4 linked regions of the Danio rerio genome follow. The protein of the gene in region 1 interacts with the protein of each later gene in a pairwise test. Links are inferred from orthologs where the notes say so. Each region holds a gene or a part of one and is shown on either strand. Other genes may lie near its edges.

What was found.
Region 2: the proteins of tmcc2 (region 1) and hspd1 interact in a two-hybrid assay, tested with the Homo sapiens proteins (2 studies listed by BioGRID). The two-hybrid records come from large-scale screens. The link is inferred for Danio rerio from reciprocal best matches to the Homo sapiens genes TMCC2 and HSPD1.
Region 3: the proteins of tmcc2 (region 1) and prpf31 interact in a two-hybrid assay, tested with the Homo sapiens proteins (2 studies listed by BioGRID). The two-hybrid records come from large-scale screens. The link is inferred for Danio rerio from reciprocal best matches to the Homo sapiens genes TMCC2 and PRPF31.
Region 4: the proteins of tmcc2 (region 1) and iqub interact in a two-hybrid assay, tested with the Homo sapiens proteins (2 studies listed by BioGRID and IntAct). The two-hybrid records come from large-scale screens. The link is inferred for Danio rerio from reciprocal best matches to the Homo sapiens genes TMCC2 and IQUB.

The regions. Positions count from the first base shown.
Region 1 is NC_133197.1:615,056-619,874, reverse strand, and holds the start of tmcc2 (transmembrane and coiled-coil domains protein 2), read left to right. Parts: upstream 1-1,729; 5' UTR 1,730-1,909; coding exon 1,910-1,912; intron 1,913-4,819.
Region 2 is NC_133184.1:33,974,065-33,978,118, reverse strand, and holds part of hspd1 (60 kDa heat shock protein, mitochondrial), read left to right. Parts: intron 1-117; 5' UTR 118-119; coding exon 120-293; intron 294-406; coding exon 407-742; intron 743-3,019; coding exon 3,020-3,115; intron 3,116-3,207; coding exon 3,208-3,301; intron 3,302-3,382; coding exon 3,383-3,551; intron 3,552-4,054. UniProt on the Homo sapiens protein: Chaperonin implicated in mitochondrial protein import and macromolecular assembly. Together with Hsp10, facilitates the correct folding of imported proteins.
Region 3 is NC_133191.1:35,273,644-35,278,343, forward strand, and holds the start of prpf31 (U4/U6 small nuclear ribonucleoprotein Prp31), read left to right. Parts: upstream 1-1,617; 5' UTR 1,618-1,722; intron 1,723-1,827; coding exon 1,828-2,037; intron 2,038-2,128; coding exon 2,129-2,189; intron 2,190-3,163; coding exon 3,164-3,247; intron 3,248-4,700. UniProt on the Homo sapiens protein: Involved in pre-mRNA splicing as component of the spliceosome. Required for the assembly of the U4/U5/U6 tri-snRNP complex, one of the building blocks of the spliceosome.
Region 4 is NC_133200.1:30,227,068-30,231,121, forward strand, and holds part of iqub (IQ motif and ubiquitin-like domain-containing protein), read left to right. Parts: intron 1-1,550; coding exon 1,551-1,726; intron 1,727-4,054. UniProt on the Homo sapiens protein: Adapter protein that anchors the radial spoke 1 (RS1) complex to the A microtubule of outer doublet microtubules in axonemes. The triple radial spokes (RS1, RS2 and RS3) are required to modulate beating of the sperm flagellum.

The sequences.
Region 1 (4,819 bases):
TAACAGAATTCCAGGAAAAAAAAGTCAGCATTCCAAGATGCAGAAGAATATCAGAAGAAGAAAAATATCAGAAATCCAAGATGCTAATTCGAAATTCCAAGAAAAATACAAGAATTGTTAGTTTTAAGCATGAAATTCCCAGGAAAAAAGAGAAAACGTGGAAAACCACAACAAAAAAGGCAGTATTCCAAGATGCAAACTCAAAATTCCAAGAAAAGAAGTCAAGATTTGGAGTTTTCAACTCTAAAAACCAAAGGAAAAAAGTGAATATTCCAAGATTCAAACTCAAAATTCCATGAAAAAAACAGAATTCCAGGAAGAAGACAACATTCCAAGATGCAAATTTAGAATTGCAAGAAAAATGTCAGTATTCCACAATGCTAACCTGAAATTCCAAAATAAAATATCAGAATTGTGTTCAAAGCTTGTAACTCCCAGGAAAAAAAAACTCCACGATCCCAGATGGAAACTATTTCAACATATAAACTAAGAATTCCAAGAAAAAAGTACAAATTCCAAGATGCAAACCTAAAAACACCTTGAAAAAAAATCAGAATTCGAAGAAACAGAAAGTATTCCAAGATGCAAATTCAGAGTTCCGGGCCATAAAAAGTTGATGCTTCCAAGACGCAAACCCAGAATGCAAAGATAAAATGTCGAAATTGTGTGAACTTAGAATTCTATGGCAAAAAGTCCCTAATCCAAGATGCAAACTTTGAGTTCCTAGTAGAAATTCAGTAAATCAGAATTCCAAGAAAATAAGTCAAAACTCAAAATTCCCGGGGGGAAAAGGTCAGCATCCCAGGATGCAAATTCAGAATTCCAAGAAAAAAAAGTCCGTATTGTAAGATGCAGACTCGGCATTCAAGGAAACAATGCCGAAATTGTGAGTTTTAAACCCAGAATTCACAAAAAAGTAAATATTCCAAGAGAAAGGTCAGGACTTACAGTTTTAAACCTAGAATTCCCAGGCAAAAGTCGGCATTCCCAGATTTAATTTATAATTCCAAGAAAAAGTAAATTATCCCAAATGCAAACTTAAAATTCCAAGAAAAAAAAAAAGTGGGAATTGTGAAATGAAGCCAGAACAATCCTGACACAGAAACAGTTTTCCAGATCAGGGGCTCTGGAATATTCCTGCAAGCAAGAAGATCTGCAGCATCACACACACACACACACACACACGCGCGTGTGCGGATCATGCCCGTCTGCAGCAGGTGCTGTTCTGCAACACAGTGACCCAGTTGTTGTGAAGCGTGTTGCTATGAGACTGACGTCAGCATTTCCCATCAGCCCCTGCAGTGTGTTTGGGAACAACCCCTTCCACACACACACACACACACACACATTACCATTAATAATGTTTTATTTCTTCGAAAATAAAAATGCACGCACACACACACATACACACACACACACACACACACACACACATTACTATTAATAATGTTTTATTTCTTTGAAAATGAAAATGCACGCACACACACACACACACACACATACAAACACCAATCATGCGTCCTTGAACAAACCCAATAAAGCACACACAGATTATTTCTCTCTCTCTCTCTCTCTCTCTCTCTCTCTCTCTCTCTCTCTCTCTCTCTCTCTCTCTCTCTCTCTCTCTCTCTCTCTGTATGTGTGTGTGTGACGCATGCTCGGCTGAACTCCCCTCCCCCTCAGCTCATCTGCTCCGCAGCCGCGTCGAAACACACAAACACACGTTCAGGAGACGAGAGATCCGCGAGGAACAGACGACGCAGAGATGCGGGAGAGAAAACACAGCTGAAACCCTCTCGGCTGTAAACCATGACCGACAGATAGAGAGAGAGATAGAGGGAGAGAGAGAGAGAGACATGGCCCTCTCAAACATCTCCGCAGTGAAGCTGCACGTCCTGGACTGAAGACCATGGTAAATCAACACAGATTACTCTTCTGTACTGTGTCCATCCATCAGTTCATCCATCCATCAGTTCATCCATCAGTTCATCCATCAGTTCATCCATCCATCCATCCATCCATCCATCCATCCATCCATATGTTCATCCATTCACCATCTCTCTATCTCTTCTGCATGTCAGGAATCAACAGCAGATTTCCCACTGTCATCTCACACACGTCACTGATCTACATGTGTGTGTGTGTGCGTGTGTATGCTGACCCGCAGTGCACTATTCCAACCTACTTTCACAATGCGGCCTGTAGATCACACACACACACACACACGCATACACTCACACACACACACACTCGCGCATGCTCTTAGCAGGTAACATGACTCAGGCTCACATGCATGGAAAGATGATGCTTGTACCGCAGTGACCTGTAGAGGAGCTGTGTGTGTGTGTGTGTGTAGCATACATGTGCAGAAACACACACATAAAACACACATGTTGTTAGTTTTGGTGGTTTATGAGGACTCTCCATAGGCATAGTGTAGCATATACAGTAAAAATATCTTATTGCTTTACCTCATCACTACCCCTAACCCTAACCCTCCTTTGTGACACAGGCATGTTCTCATAAACCCACTTTATGTCGTAAGTCATCATGCCTATGTCACTAGACACAGACATGTCCTTGCAAACCACCAAAACCAGTACACACGCACACACTCACATGCATGCAAAATGTCTGAGGGATGTTCAGTCAGTCATGCATTGTTTTTCAGCTTAGTCCCTTTATTCATCTGGGGTCACCACAGCAGAATGAAACGGCAACTTATCCAGCACGTTTTACACAGCGGATGCTCTTCCCATCTATGGGAAACACCCATACACACTCATTCACACACACTATGGCCAATTTAGTTGATCAACTCCCCTATAGCGCATGTGTTTGGACTGTGGGGAAAACCGGAGCACCCGGAGGAAACCCACGCCAACACGGGGAGAACATGCAAACTCCACACAGAAACACCAACTGACCCAACCGGAACTCGAACCAGCGACCTTCTTGCTGTGAGGCGATCATTCTACCCACTATTTACTATAAATGTGTGTGTGAGGGTCTTTGTGTCATTAATGTTGATCTGCAGATGTAAATGTGTGTGTGAGGGTCTTTGTGTCATTAATGTTGATCTGCAGATATAAATGTGTGTGTGAGGATCTTTGTGTCATTAATGTTGGTCTGCAGATGTAAATGTGTGTGTGAGGGTCTTTGTGTCATTAATGTTGGTCTGCAGATGTAAATGTGTGTGTGAGGGTCTTAGTGTCATTAATGTTGGTGTGCAGATATAAATGTGTGTGTGAGGGTCTTTGCGTCATTAATGTTGGTCTGCAGATGTAAATGTGTGTGTGAGGGTCTTTGTGTCATTAATGTTGGTCTGCAGATGTAAATGTGTGTGTGAGGGTCTTAGTGTCATTAATGTTGGTGTGCAGATATAAATGTGTGTGTGAGGGTCTTTGCGTCATTAATGTTGGTCTGCAGATATAAATGTGTGTGTGAGGGTCTTTGTGTCATTACTGTTGGTCTGCAGATATAAATGTGTGTGTGAGGGTCTTTGTGTCATTAATGTTGGTCTGCAGATATAAATGTGTGTGTGAGGGTCTTTGCGTCATTAATGTTGGTCTGCAGATATAAATGTGTGTGTGAGGGTCTTTGCGTCATTAATGTTGGTCTGCAGATATAAATGTGTGTGTGAGGGTCTTTGTGTCATTAATGTTGGTCTGCAGATATAAATGTGTGTGTGAGGGTCTTTGTGTCATTAATGTTGGTGTGCAGATATAAATGTGTGTGTGAGGGTCTTTGCGTCATTAATGTTGGTCTGCAGATATAAATGTGTGTGTGAGGGTCTTTGCGTCATTAATGTTGGTCTGCAGATATAAATGTGTGTGTGTGAGGGTCTTTGTGTCATTAATGTTGGTCTGCAGATATAAATGTGTGTGTGAGGGTCTTTGTGTCATTAATGTTGGTCTGCAGATATAAATGTGTGTGTGAGGGTCTTTGTGTCAGTAATGTTGGTCTGCAGATATAAATGTGTGTGTGAGGGTCTTTGCGTCATTAATGTTGGTGTGCAGATATAAATGTGTGTGTGAGGGTCTTTGCGTCATTAATGTTGGTCTGCAGATATAAATGTGTGTGTGAGGGTCTTTGTCATTAATGTTGGTCTGCAGATATAAATGTGTGTGTGAGGGTCTTTGCGTCATTAATGTTGGTCTGCAGATATAAATGTGTGTGTGAGGGTCTTTGTGTCATTAATGTTGGTCTGCAGATATAAATGTGTGTGTGAGGGTCTTTGTGTCAGTAATGTTGGTCTGCAGATATAAATGTGTGTGTGAGGGTCTTTGCGTCATTAATGTTGGTGTGCAGATATAAATGTGTGTGTGAGGGTCTTTGCGTCATTAATGTTGGTCTGCAGATATAAATGTGTGTGTGAGGGTCTTTGTCATTAATGTTGGTCTGCAGATATAAATGTGTGTGTGAGGGTCTTTGCGTCATTAATGTTGGTCTGCAGATATAAATGTGTGTGTGAGGGTCTTTGTCATTAATGTTGATCTGCAGATATAAATGTGTGTGTGAGGGTCTTTGTGTCATTAATGTTGGTCTGCAGATATAAATGTGTGTGTGAGGGTCTTTGCGTCATTAATGTTGGTGTGCAGATATAAATGTGTGTGTGAGGGTCTTTGCGTCATTATTGTTGATCTGCAGATATAAATGTGTGTGTGAGGGTCTTTGCGTCATTAATGTTGGTGTGCAGATATAAATGTGTGTGTGAGGGTCTTTGCGTCATTATTGTTGATCTGCAGATATAAATGTGTGTGTGAGGGTCTTTGTGTCATTAATGTTGGTCTGCAGATATAAATGTGTGTGTGAGGGT
Region 2 (4,054 bases), on another chromosome or scaffold:
AATTGATCAGAATAAACTGTACATTTTAACAATCAACATTTTAGGATAAAACAGTAATAAAAACAACAACAACAACAACAATAATAATCTTTCTCTCTCTCTCTCACTCTCTGATAGAAATGCTGCGTTTACCCAGTGTCATGAGACAGATGAGGCCTGTGTGCAGGGCTCTGGCCCCTCACCTGACCCGTGCATATGCAAAGGATGTGAAGTTTGGAGCAGATGCCCGGGCCCTCATGCTCCAGGGTGTTGACCTGCTGGCTGATGCAGTGGCCGTCACCATGGGGCCAAAGGTGTGCTGGGATTAATAAGTCGCCAGTCAAACAAAACCACCATCCTTTCTAAATCACGTTTTTAATCATTGATGGAAGAAAAGCTACTAGATTTCCCTCTCTCTGTCTTTCAGGGTCGCACCGTCATCATTGAGCAGAGCTGGGGAAGCCCTAAAGTTACCAAAGATGGGGTCACAGTTGCTAAAAGTATTGATCTGAAGGACAGGTATAAAAATATCGGAGCCAAGCTGGTTCAGGATGTGGCCAACAACACTAATGAGGAGGCTGGAGACGGCACCACCACCGCTACAGTTCTGGCCCGGGCTGTCGCCAAAGAGGGCTTCGACACCATCAGCAAGGGGGCAAACCCAGTTGAGATCCGTAGAGGAGTCATGATGGCCGTAGAAGAGGTCATCAGTGAACTCAAGAAAAACTCAAAGCCCGTCACGACTCCAGAGGAAATCGCTCAGGTAAAAAGTGGCATTAAATGGAAAGTTCTGTAATATAATATCAGCCTCATATTGATCCATTTAAAGTGACACCAGGAAAATTTTTTAAATTTTGATCATGTATTAACACTAAAATTCACATTTAATTGGTGTGTTCGTTTTTGTTTTTAAATATATTTATTATTGAATTTTTTTGCCATGAAAATAGCCTTGGTTGCTGACATGGCATTAAATAAAAAATACACTACATTACATTGATGCAGTTTCTTAATACATCAGATTAAAAGTTAGGTTATAATAAAAGTTTGAGTTTCACCCATTAGTGACAATCTCTTCTTCATTAGCGTTGGACGTTGGGGATTACTCACACTCTGCTATCCGAACCATGCCCATGCCCAGGCACATTTCCCAGTTCATTTGACAAGTGTGAGTGCTGCGAATCGGGCCAAAGTGCGGTTAAGAGGTGTGCCAGAGTGTTGTTTGGTTGGGCTTTGGCACATTACGCTTGTAGTGTATGTATTAAATTAAAATCCGGGTAATTAAGGTCTTAAATTGTCTTTAATTTTACCGTAAAGTGGCTGTAGGTATAAAATTTTCAGCCAGTGTGCTTAATGACGATAGGGAAGCACAGTGGTCCACCGTAAAACATCTAATAGTTGATTAATTTAGCACTTGTAAAACAGGAGAGAAATGACAGTCTCCGTGATTTATTAGCTTATTACGGTGGGTCAGCTACAGAGTACAGACGCTTGCGTCGGTCTGTACCTGCGTGCTGTTATTATGCGGTTGTTGATGTGTCAAAATGCAAAGATGGAAAATTGTACATTTAACGACGTGGCAAAAAGGCAATGTGTGAATTCTGCAAAAAGACCTTTTCGTTAGGGACCATGGGGCTCAAAGTTGTCAAGTCGCACATGAAAGGAGGAAAGCAGCAGCGGGACGTTGCAGCAGCTTGTCATAGCAGGTCCAGGTTAATCCCTGCATTGTTTGCAGCTCGACCTAACAATGTTACTAGTTACTAATGTTAGGCCTATAGCCTATGTTATGAATAAGTAATGTTAACCCTTTTAAACAACTCATTCATAAAAAAAGACAAAAGAGCTGTGTGCCTTTGCACATTTGGATAATGTCGGGCTATAAACGGGTACGGGCTTTTAAAAGCTGTCAATCAAAATGTACTTGTCGGGTTCGGGCTCTATCGGGCCTAGCTTTTATATCCTGATTACAGCTCTAGTTCAGACGCCCCCTCACAGTCAGCTATAACAGTTTAATTTCACCACCTGACACCCAAAAAGCAGGTAGTGTGGGTTATCCATACTGTGACGAGGCACAATTTATTTAAATCTAACGAGAACATTAAAATGAGTAGCCTACTCTGAAGAAATTCTAAAATTTTTGGGTCTTAAATTATATTTGTTGAGGTCTTAAAAAGGTCTTAAAAAGCATAAAATTTTACTTTTAAAACTGTGCAAGAACCCTGTATGCACAATGGTGCGCCTGAGCTCGAAATTAAAGAAATTAAAGATGTGTCACTTTTAGAAGACTGTTTCATATGGATTTGTTAATCATTCTGCAAAATGTTGTAGTTTAATAAAGACTCAAACCTCTCGCTGCTCCTTCAGCAAACCTCCAAATACGTGCAGCACGAGGACTTTATAAGCGTAAAAAGTGGTGGATCTTTTTGGCAAAATAATTGACTGCATGTCACTGCATCCTAAATGGCTAAAACGATATAACTAAAGCAATCTCCACTGTGCTGAGCGAGAGCACTTTTTACATGTTAAACTGAACAGTCGCATCATCAATGACTTAAGCGTTCTCTGGATCAGTAGGTAAAGAAAGATGTATCATGAGTGCAAACTGTCGGGGGAAGGGGGACAACCGCACTTCGACATTTTTCAAGGCAACTGTGCCTAGTGAGAGTGTGCCCTTAGTCTTGTTTTTGAATCTGCCACTATGCTAACACACAGGCATTTGTAGCTTCACCCATTCTCATTTGAATTTTAAGCGACAGTCCACAAAATGACTAGATTAGGATCAAAACCTAAAATGTTATAAAACATTATTTGTAGAGTTTTGAGCTGAAACTTCACATAAACACTCTAGGGATATCAGAGACTTTCTATCTTGTACAAAGAGGCATAAGTCCCCTTTAAGGTATTTCAAAGTTTGTATAGGAAACATCAATACAATTATTATTTTTGTCTTTTTGTTGTCTATGTTAATCTTTTACATATCTTTAAAATGATACAAGTAAATGTGCAATTTATGTATGCTTCCTTGAATCATCCTTTGTAGGTGGCTACTATTTCTGCCAATGGAGACACTGAAGTTGGTAACATCATCTCCAATGCTATGAAGAAAGTCGGTCGTAAGGGTGTCATTACAGTGAAGGTAGGCTACTAAAAAGTAGTGTTTAATCCAGATCAAATTATGTTTTTATCCTTAAAATACCTCACACACGGGATGTAATTATTATTTTTAAGGATGGCAAAACCCTTCATGATGAGCTTGAGATCATTGAGGGCATGAAGTTTGACCGTGGTTACATTTCTCCTTACTTCATCAACACCGCTAAAGGTATCGTATTACTTTTTTGGAGGTCATTTGTTATCAATGTTATTAATGTTGGACTGACTAACGTGTTGATTCTGTCTGCAGGCCAGAAGTGTGAGTTTCAGGATGCATATGTGCTTCTGAGCGAGAAGAAGATCTCCAGTGTTCAGAGTATTGTTCCTGCTCTGGAAATTGCTAACCAGCATCGCAAACCTCTGGTCATCGTGGCGGAAGATGTGGATGGAGAGGCGCTCAGCACTCTGGTCCTCAACAGGTATGTTAAACTATCATCTTCAAGTCTACAACACCAATTCCATGCAAATGTCAACCTTTCCATTAAAAAAATTAAGTTTATCAAAATAGTAAAATGCTTTCTAAGTTTTTTTTTTTTTTGTAAGCAAGTATTTTACAGTATTTTAAAAATACTCAAACATGTCTCTGTCAGAGAGATGGAGATTAACGGTCCATTTATCTATAGTTACCTGATGGTCAGGGACTTTTAGTCTGGACAAACTCCTTTGTATATTTTTAGATGAAGAATATATATATATATATATATATATATATATATATATATATATATATATATATATATATATATATATATATATATATATATATATATATATATATATATATATATATATATATAAATTTTTTTTTTTTTATGAAATTTATTTATTTATTTTTTTTAAAGAACATTTTGTTGAATAAAAAGTGCATGTACACAGCTATATTTAGCTTGCTTTTACACATTTTTTTAAATTTGTGGCAATA
Region 3 (4,700 bases), on another chromosome or scaffold:
TATAATATTATTTAAAATCAAAATATCTATTAAATCTTTTTTTTGAAGCACAATTTAATTCACAATTTATATGCTATGTTCATAACATCTTTATTATTCTGTTATTTATTTTTTACAGACACACACACACACACAAATATTAATATAATAACCAAATAAAAGAATTTAGGTTGATGTCAGGCTTTTCAGCAATGTAATGTAATGTGTATTTGGGAAACTTTTCAACTACGGGCACTTTTAGTCTTGTGAAGTTGAGTAAAAATTAACAAATCCTGGCCTCAAGTTTAAACAATTTGTCTAGTTTTAAGATGTGTAAGAGCACAAACTTAGATAAGAAGAGAGATTGTTTATATTTAACATTTTTTCCATCATAAAATGAGCAAACGTCATTTCCATCACATCTCAATATACAGCTTTTATTTCAAAATGAAATCAATTATGGCAGTAAAAAGTTGTCTGAGATCCTTTTTATATCCAGTTTAACCAATCTTTCCATAATGTGTACAATAATTATACATTTGTCAATTAAATAAATGAGTCTCTTAGGACCAAATGCTGAATTGTACACCTGTCACACTCTAAAATTTAATTTGATTAAAAGCTTATTACAAAATAAATGAATTTGTATTAAATAGAGCATGAGCTCATAAATTGTGAATTCATTTTTAAAGTGTGATAAGAACTTAAATTTTTTTTTTAAATATGTGTGGTGATGGAAATGACAGCTGTGGTGGAAATGACCAAATCAGTGTTAATGTAGAGAAACGTTAGACTAATATTAGAAAAATAATTGAACTCTTAAACTCACACTTTTTAAACTCAGTTTACAAAATTACTAAGTATAACCGCACAGTTTTGCATGTGTAGGGCTGTGATTGATCTAAAAACTGATTTGTCTAGCAGATGAACAGTAACAGTGCACTGTGAATGTCAATATTATTCAAATATTATACAAATTCGTTTTAAAATAAAAGTATTACACATCTACAGTTGGACAATGAGACTGAAAGGCCTGGTTTTAGAGCACAATAATTCATTAGAGCGATGGAGACTATTGGAGCGATATGGCGGAGAGGGTAATGCTGTCACCTCGGCTGGGTCAGTTGGCATTTCTGTGTGGAGTTTACATGTTCTCCCCATGTAGGCGTGGGTTTCCTCTGGGTGCTCCGGTAACGGTTTCCCCCAAATACATGCGGCACAGTTGAATTGGGTAGCCTAACTTGGCTGTAGTGTATGTGTGTGAATGAAAGTGTGTGGGTGTTCCCTGATGTTGGGTTGCGGCTGCGTAAAACATATGCTGGATAAGTTGGTGGTGTGGTGCCACTGTGGTGCCCTCAGATGAATAAAGGGACTATGTCAAAGGAAAAATGAATGAATGAAAGAATGAAGTTTACAAACTTCATTTATTAATTCATTTGCCTTCGACACCATAGTGGAATGAACCTATATACCTTAAACAAATCCATGCATCCAAATTATTGTTAATCATTCAAAATTTAACTTCTTTCATGTCCAAAATGTGTACAAGGAGCAAAAAAAAAACAAATAGGTCATGGACTTTTTTATTTCGAATCTTCCTGAACACATTTCCCAGAAGCCTTTGCTGTGAAACATGTGACGTATTTACTGTGCGACTGCAGATCGTTGTTTGGCGTTTGTAAGTCGTTGCATGTTGGCTTCTGTTCTTTCCATAAAGTGAGAAGAAAACAGGCGGGTTGAGTTGTAAGTTTGGTCTGATTTTACCTTGAACACTTTCTTAAAGATTGCGATTATCAAACAGCAGTGTTTATTGTCTAGTTGTGATTTATTTTCTCACTGTCTTCGTAGATGTCTTTGGCAGACGAGCTGCTTGCGGATTTGGAGGAGGCAGGAGAAGAGGACGGGCTGTATCCCGGCGGAGAAGAGGGAGAGAGTGATGGAGAGCCCGGAGAAAGACAAGTTGATGGAGGACTGGAGGACATCCCGGAGGAGATGGAGGTGGATTACAGCAGCACGGAGAGCGTCACGTCCATAGCTAAACTACGACACAGCAAACCGGTCAGTTTCTGACATCAATAACTCACACACAGCTTCATTTCAGATCTATTTTTAGAACCTAACTTATTGCAGACTTGTTGATATGTTGCAGTTCGCTGAAATCATGGATAAAATCAGTCACTATGTTGGAAATCAACGCAAGAATTCAGAAGGTAACGTTGAGGTTGTTTTTATTCACACATTCAGACTTTGGTGTTCAATAAAATACTAAAGCAGATTTTAAAAGCCTAATACAGACTATTTATAATGACGTAATAATTTAAACACAAAGTAACTACTTGTGACAAGGTCCCTGCATTGTTTGTCACGCTACTTTGGATATTATTTCTGAAATCCAATTCAGGCTAAATATTCAGACTTCAAAACAACATTAGTTCTACTGTTTGACTGCACAATGTTGTATTTTCATAGTCATGGGCTCCTGATATGATTTCTCTATTTAGAATTTGTAAAATACTTCCCTGAAATTGCATTAAGAGGGTGAGAGTCAGAATGTGCAAATATAAAACTAACTTTACATCAATGAAGATAAGTAGTAACTTTTTTTTTTTTTTTTTGTAAAGCGTGCTGGTGAACATTTATTTTAACTTAAAAAATTAAGTCAAAGAATCAGGATCCATATCATTGTGACATAGATGAAAATGATCTAAAATATTGGTCCAGAATTGAGATAATCTAGGTCATCCACAGAACATACAACTCAGATCTGCTGGCTTCAAACCACATCTGGAGCAAGATGAATCTGACCCTGAATACATTTTTGCCAGCTTACTCCTTGATAGGTGAAGACTATGAAGCCCCTTAAACTGTAGAAGACCATGTCTAATACATATAGAGAATACTAATTTTAATTAACGTTGTTTAAAAGGGATGGTGAAATTAGGTATTAAAATCTGCTCACCCTCAATGGTTCAATGAGGTTTTTGTTTTGTTTTATTTTGTTGAATACAAAAAATGTAAATATTTTGATGATAAATTTGAAAACTTTAACCATTAACATCTTTATTAAAAGCAAACACTATGGAAGTCAAGGGTTACAGGTTTTATGTTCAACCAAAGAAATGAATTTAAACAGTTTTAGGCACAAGTGAAACTTTTTTTAACATGGTATTTCCTCTTTTTTCAGTGTCTGGACCGGTTGAAGCAGACCCAGAGTACAGGCTCATTGTTGCCGCCAACAATCTGACGGTGGAAATAGACAACGAGCTTAGTGAGTTCACTGTTTGTTTTATACCTGTGTATTAAATTCACATTATATGAATTGTAACACTAAAGCTATAAAGGCAAATTTCAGATATATTTGCTTAATTATTCATTTTTCCAAATGAGCTTTTACCATGATTCTGACTGTTTTTGCATTTTAATATTCTGAATTTGAAATTCTGTGAAATTCTGCATACATTATTTTTTTACATTGTATTATTATTATTATTATTATAGTTTTTTTCATAAAATGTTATAATGCTTTTGAAGTGGCTCTTGGAGCATAGCAGATGAAGTTAATGTCCTCGTATAGTGAAATGGCAGACAGTGCTTGAGTTTGTCTGTAGTAAAGAAGGCACACCACTGATTTACACACAAAATGCAGACTTTATTACAGTTTTTTACAATTGCTATGACACTTTTATCAATACATTTAACAAGTTTCCTAAACTCTTAACACAGTTAGCACAACATCCGTCTTCGTGGGCTATACAATTAACACATTTATTGTTGTTTTGACACAAAATGCATCCAGTTAACACAAATTTAAAATGCTTTAACTTCTTTTACACACAAGCACAACCAAGAAAACAATGTAATTTTACAGTCAAATTTACAAATGCTTTAACACAGTATGTCAGAACAGATAACACCATGTTCTAAACAGAAATTATATAGGATAAAGTCAAAGTGAACAGCTGTTCTAATTGTGAATTGAAACACAAGTTTATTCCCTTTATTTTATTCAATTGCCAATGAGAAACAGCATATTGCGGTTATATAAATAAATAAATATATATATATATATATATATATATATATATATATATATATATTTATTTATTTTTTAAATATATATATATATAACCGCAATATGAGTCTCTCTCATATATATATATATATGGAGTTCATTAGTACATACAGTACATATACAGTACAGCATTTGCATACACTGTGTCTAATTACTTTCAGAGAGTCATGAAGTTAGAGGCCAATCAAGTACCACATGAAATTTTCAATGTTGACAAGGCTGGGGATGTCGCCGTAGGAAAAACATAATAGGCCAAAGGGCCACAGTTACCGTGCCGGGCCACAGAAGATATCAAGTATAATGTGGATGAGAACTTGTGGCAAAAGACCGGGAAGTATAGAAGATTACTTTGTTATTTTATTATAGTTGTGGTGCTTTTCCTGTTTGCAGTGATGTCCTTCTGCAAAAAAAGTCTGTACTGCAGAAATTCTGTGTCTGTATTTTTTTTACATAAACTGTAAATTTTATAAAGCAATTTTTTTCTTCCTTTCGTATAGAATTTTTGCCGTAAACGAAAGAAAATGCATGCATTTACTTAACCCAACGAAACAAAACTGTAACGAGACTTCAAATATAAGGGCAGAGCTGACACATAAACTAATGGAGTTTCTGTAATGTCAGCTGATGATAGTGTTTTTATTGTCAGTGT
Region 4 (4,054 bases), on another chromosome or scaffold:
ATGGAGCTACGCGGCGCATTGCCGAGCGGTGCTTCTGGTGTGCAACCTGGTTTAGACTACCAGGAAGCTATTTTGAGCCAAGGCACAATATTCTGATAAAATGGGCCAATATAAACATATGTAACTTCAGCTGAACAGTAAGTTGGCACTATTGTCTTTAGTGTATCACAGAAAAAATGTAAAGATGTAAAGCTGAACAAATATTTCTTTAAACAACTGCAATGCAGTTATGAATGAAATCATTATTGCAAATGATTGCAAGCCTCATCCTGCTGGCCTTTTAAATCAGCTATTTCATTTGGATAAATTTTATACCTTAATGAAAAAAGCAACTTTTCAGTTCTGACATAACATTTATCCTTTCAACAGATGCCATCTAGTTTAAATCATAACAAAAACAGACAGGTGCAACAATTTGGGCACCTCAACAGAATAATGACATCAATGTTTTGTACAGCCACCTTTTGCTGAAATAAAAGCCTGTTGACATTTCTTATAGTCAAGGATAAGTCCCGGAATTCTTGCTGAAGGCATTTTGGACCACTTTTCCTGGAAAAACTTCTCAAGTTCAGTCAGGTTTGATAGGTGCCAAGCATGAAAGGCCCTTTTCAAATCAATCCATAGATTTTTCGATGATGTTCAAGTCTGGGAACTGGGATAGCTCCTCTAGAACATTGTGTCATGTCTGAACATGAATTCCTTAGCAGATCTGGAACTGTGCTTTGAATCATTGTCCTGCTTGAAACATCCAGCCGTGGAGTAACTTCAGCCTCTTGATTGATTTCTGAAAATTATTCTTTAGATTCAGCTGATACTGGGGGAAATCCATGCGACCTTTAACTCTGACAAGGTTTCCAGTACCTGCACATTTTTTCAGTTTCAATTTATTTCACACATTTCAATACTGCTACCCTACATATTTCTGTCGGAAAAACATGACATTATCTAGCTTTCACTAGAAACCGAATGACATTTCACTGTGATCTTCTCTTTAAAGAGCAAATAATTATGCAGCCACAGAGGGGTGACCAAATTTTTGCATAAAACTGTATAGGTGTGTGTTTATGTGCATTGGTGAAATAATTAAAATGGTTGTTAAACATTTTGAATGAAAAAATAGGCCTGCATGAACTTATTTCATCCCCAAAATGTGTATAAACATGTGTGCAGTACAGTTGAAAACTCTTGCTCATATTAGATTAAACAACCATTTTAACCTACCATGGTCGCTTTTAAAATTAAAGTTTATTTTTTTATTAAACTGTTTATTTGAAGAAAAAAAAACATGTCAAAACATTGTTCATAAACCACTGTTTTGTTGGTAAGCTTAAAATTGCTTTGGTACCCTATTGTATCTTATACATGCATCTGATCATTTTTAAGAGTATGTGATACTAATAAAAAGATTGTAGAAGCAACAATGCAAAATCTGTCATTGTGCAAAGACTGAATGAGATTTGATGCTACAAACGTATTTGGCTTATTTTACCAGAATTTTGCTTATTTAAAACCTATAGACAAGCATTTGTGACAAGTTTTCTCACTTTAAGAAGCAGACACATACCAGGATGTGGTGGTAGAGATTGAGAGAGCCACTCAGGGGAAGGCTTTTCTGGGAGGATACCGTCACAAGTTGACCAACGCAGAGTATCACCATGCTGCTATACAGACGGTGCCCAAGAAGAGGCCAGACAGAGGCATTGAGATGTTCAGCAGGGATACACAGGTACACATACTATAACATGCATGATTGTCAAGGATCCTGAAGGAGATCCCAAACACGAAATGTAGGTTAAGGGGGTTTTATTGACAGCAGTGGCAGATTTAGATATGGGCGATCACCCAGGGCGACATCTTACTGGGTGCGAAACAGAGACAGTGAAAAAAAAACGTGCCACAGTAATAGCTTTAAGATATGAATTACTTTATGCAAATGTATTAATTAAGAGTGGTAATCTCGGAATAAAGACAATAGGAGCCATGCCTCAGTAGAGCTTTATGTCCACTTTAAATGGGTACATGACAATATAATTGATGACTTTGCTGCAACAAAAGAAAGGTGCAGATTTAGGGAAATACTAGTCAAATTTCAGTTTGTATGCTGTCTGAATTGTTTGTTTGAGACAATTCGTTTTAGAAAAAAGTCAACTACAAAGTGTCTTCTTTTTTTCTAGGGGGATGTGAGTGTGTGTGTGGGGGGGGGTATATGGGGTGTATAACAGCCACTGATTGACAGATAAAAGGAAAAACAGGAGTTATATGGCAAACAGTCTGAATGACATGGAATACAGTAACAGATGGCTACTGGCTAGGAGACAGAACAGGGATGACCAAGACAGGCTGTAGTTGTCGAAGGCCTTGGATGAGGCACAGCAGAGAACGTTCGAGGTTACTAAAGTAACCCTTCGTTCCCCGAGGAGGGGAACGGAAGCACTATAAGTGGATTTGATTGTAAAATCCACGCATTGGGAGGTTCGGTTCAGAAGCTACTCGTCTGAAAGAGTATTGAACGGGCCAATTAAGAATGAATTGGCAGCGCAAGCCTGCGCAGGTGAGCGGCATAAGCAATCAACTGAGTATATAAGCTCACCTGGCGCCAGCAGACGCTATCCTTTTTAAGCTGAAGAGACTTTCAACAGCTAAGGGACAGTCATTATGGCGACGGAGTATAGTGCTTCCGTTCCCCTCCTCGGGGAACGAAGGGTTACTGTAGTAACCTCGAACGTTCCCCTTCGGGGGGAACTTCAGCACTATAAGTGGATTTGATTGTAAAATCCACGCATTGGGAGCCCATTGAAAGCGCCATAATGACTGCACCTTACCAACACCCCCGATGAGGAGATAGTCAAGCAAGCGTGACGCACCCACATCATGGGGGGCGCGGTCCTCCAACGTGTCCCTGGCCCTAATTTATCCTACTTCAACAGAAGTTTTACGGATTTATATATATTTTTTGGGAAGTCGTGAGCATCTAGATAATTCTAGAAAAATACGACAGTACGTTGGGAAGCGTGCAATCCCGATAGGGAGGACGCTGCGGAGGCCATCCGTTACCCAAGGGGGGATAGATGGCAGAATTTACATATGGACTAGCCCTAAAAAGGGGGAGTACGCATAGCAAAAGAGTGGTTAGCGGGGAGGGAAGACACGGGTCCGCCCAGGGGGGGGGGGGGACTTAACCGTGGCTGAATAAGCATATGGGATCGCCTAGTGGGGACCACGCATAGCAGGCACCTTTACCCAAAACGCGGGCTGACCAGCGGGCAGACCTACAACGTATTGGGCCAGCAAGTGACTCCTCCGCTGAGTCAGTGCTGGGGGCCACGGAGGAATCTGCAGGGCTCACCTGACGGGGAACTTTACTGACAGATAAAAAGGCGCACGTATCTCCGTGTTAGGGAAAATGGCGCAGCAAGCGTGTTTCAACACCCTACCGAATTGTTTCCTCAATCACCAAGGGTTACCTAATACCCTTGAGGAAACCGGCTCCACTCGCAGATTGTAAAACCTTGCAAATGTGTTGGGTGTCACCCAGCCCGCAGCTCTACAGATGTCTGTTAGAGGGGCGCCGTGTGCGCGCGCTCGAGAGGATGCGAAGCTCCGAGCGGAGTGCGCACGCGCTCTCGGGGGACGCGGCTCATCTCGGCTCTGATAGTGAAAGAAAGGCATCCACAATCTAGTGGGAACTTATTTCGGTACGGCACTTCCCTGCTGCCGACCGCTATAACAGACGAAGAGCTGCTCAGATGATCTAAACTCTGAGTGCGGTCCGGATAATACGCAAAACGCGAACTGGACAATAAAGAAGGGCTGGGTCTGCCTCCTCCGAGGGCAGCGCTTGCAGGCTCACTACCTCGTATTAAAACGGAGTGGTAGGAACCTTGGGCACATATCGTGGGCGGGGTCTCAGAACGTGAGAGAAGCCAGCCCAATTACAGGCACGAGTCACTGACCGAAAAATGCCTCCGGGTCCCCGACCCTCTAATCGATATCAACGCGACCAGCAGAGCTGTCTTCAGGGACAGAAATATACTGAGTCGAGGATCGAAGGGAT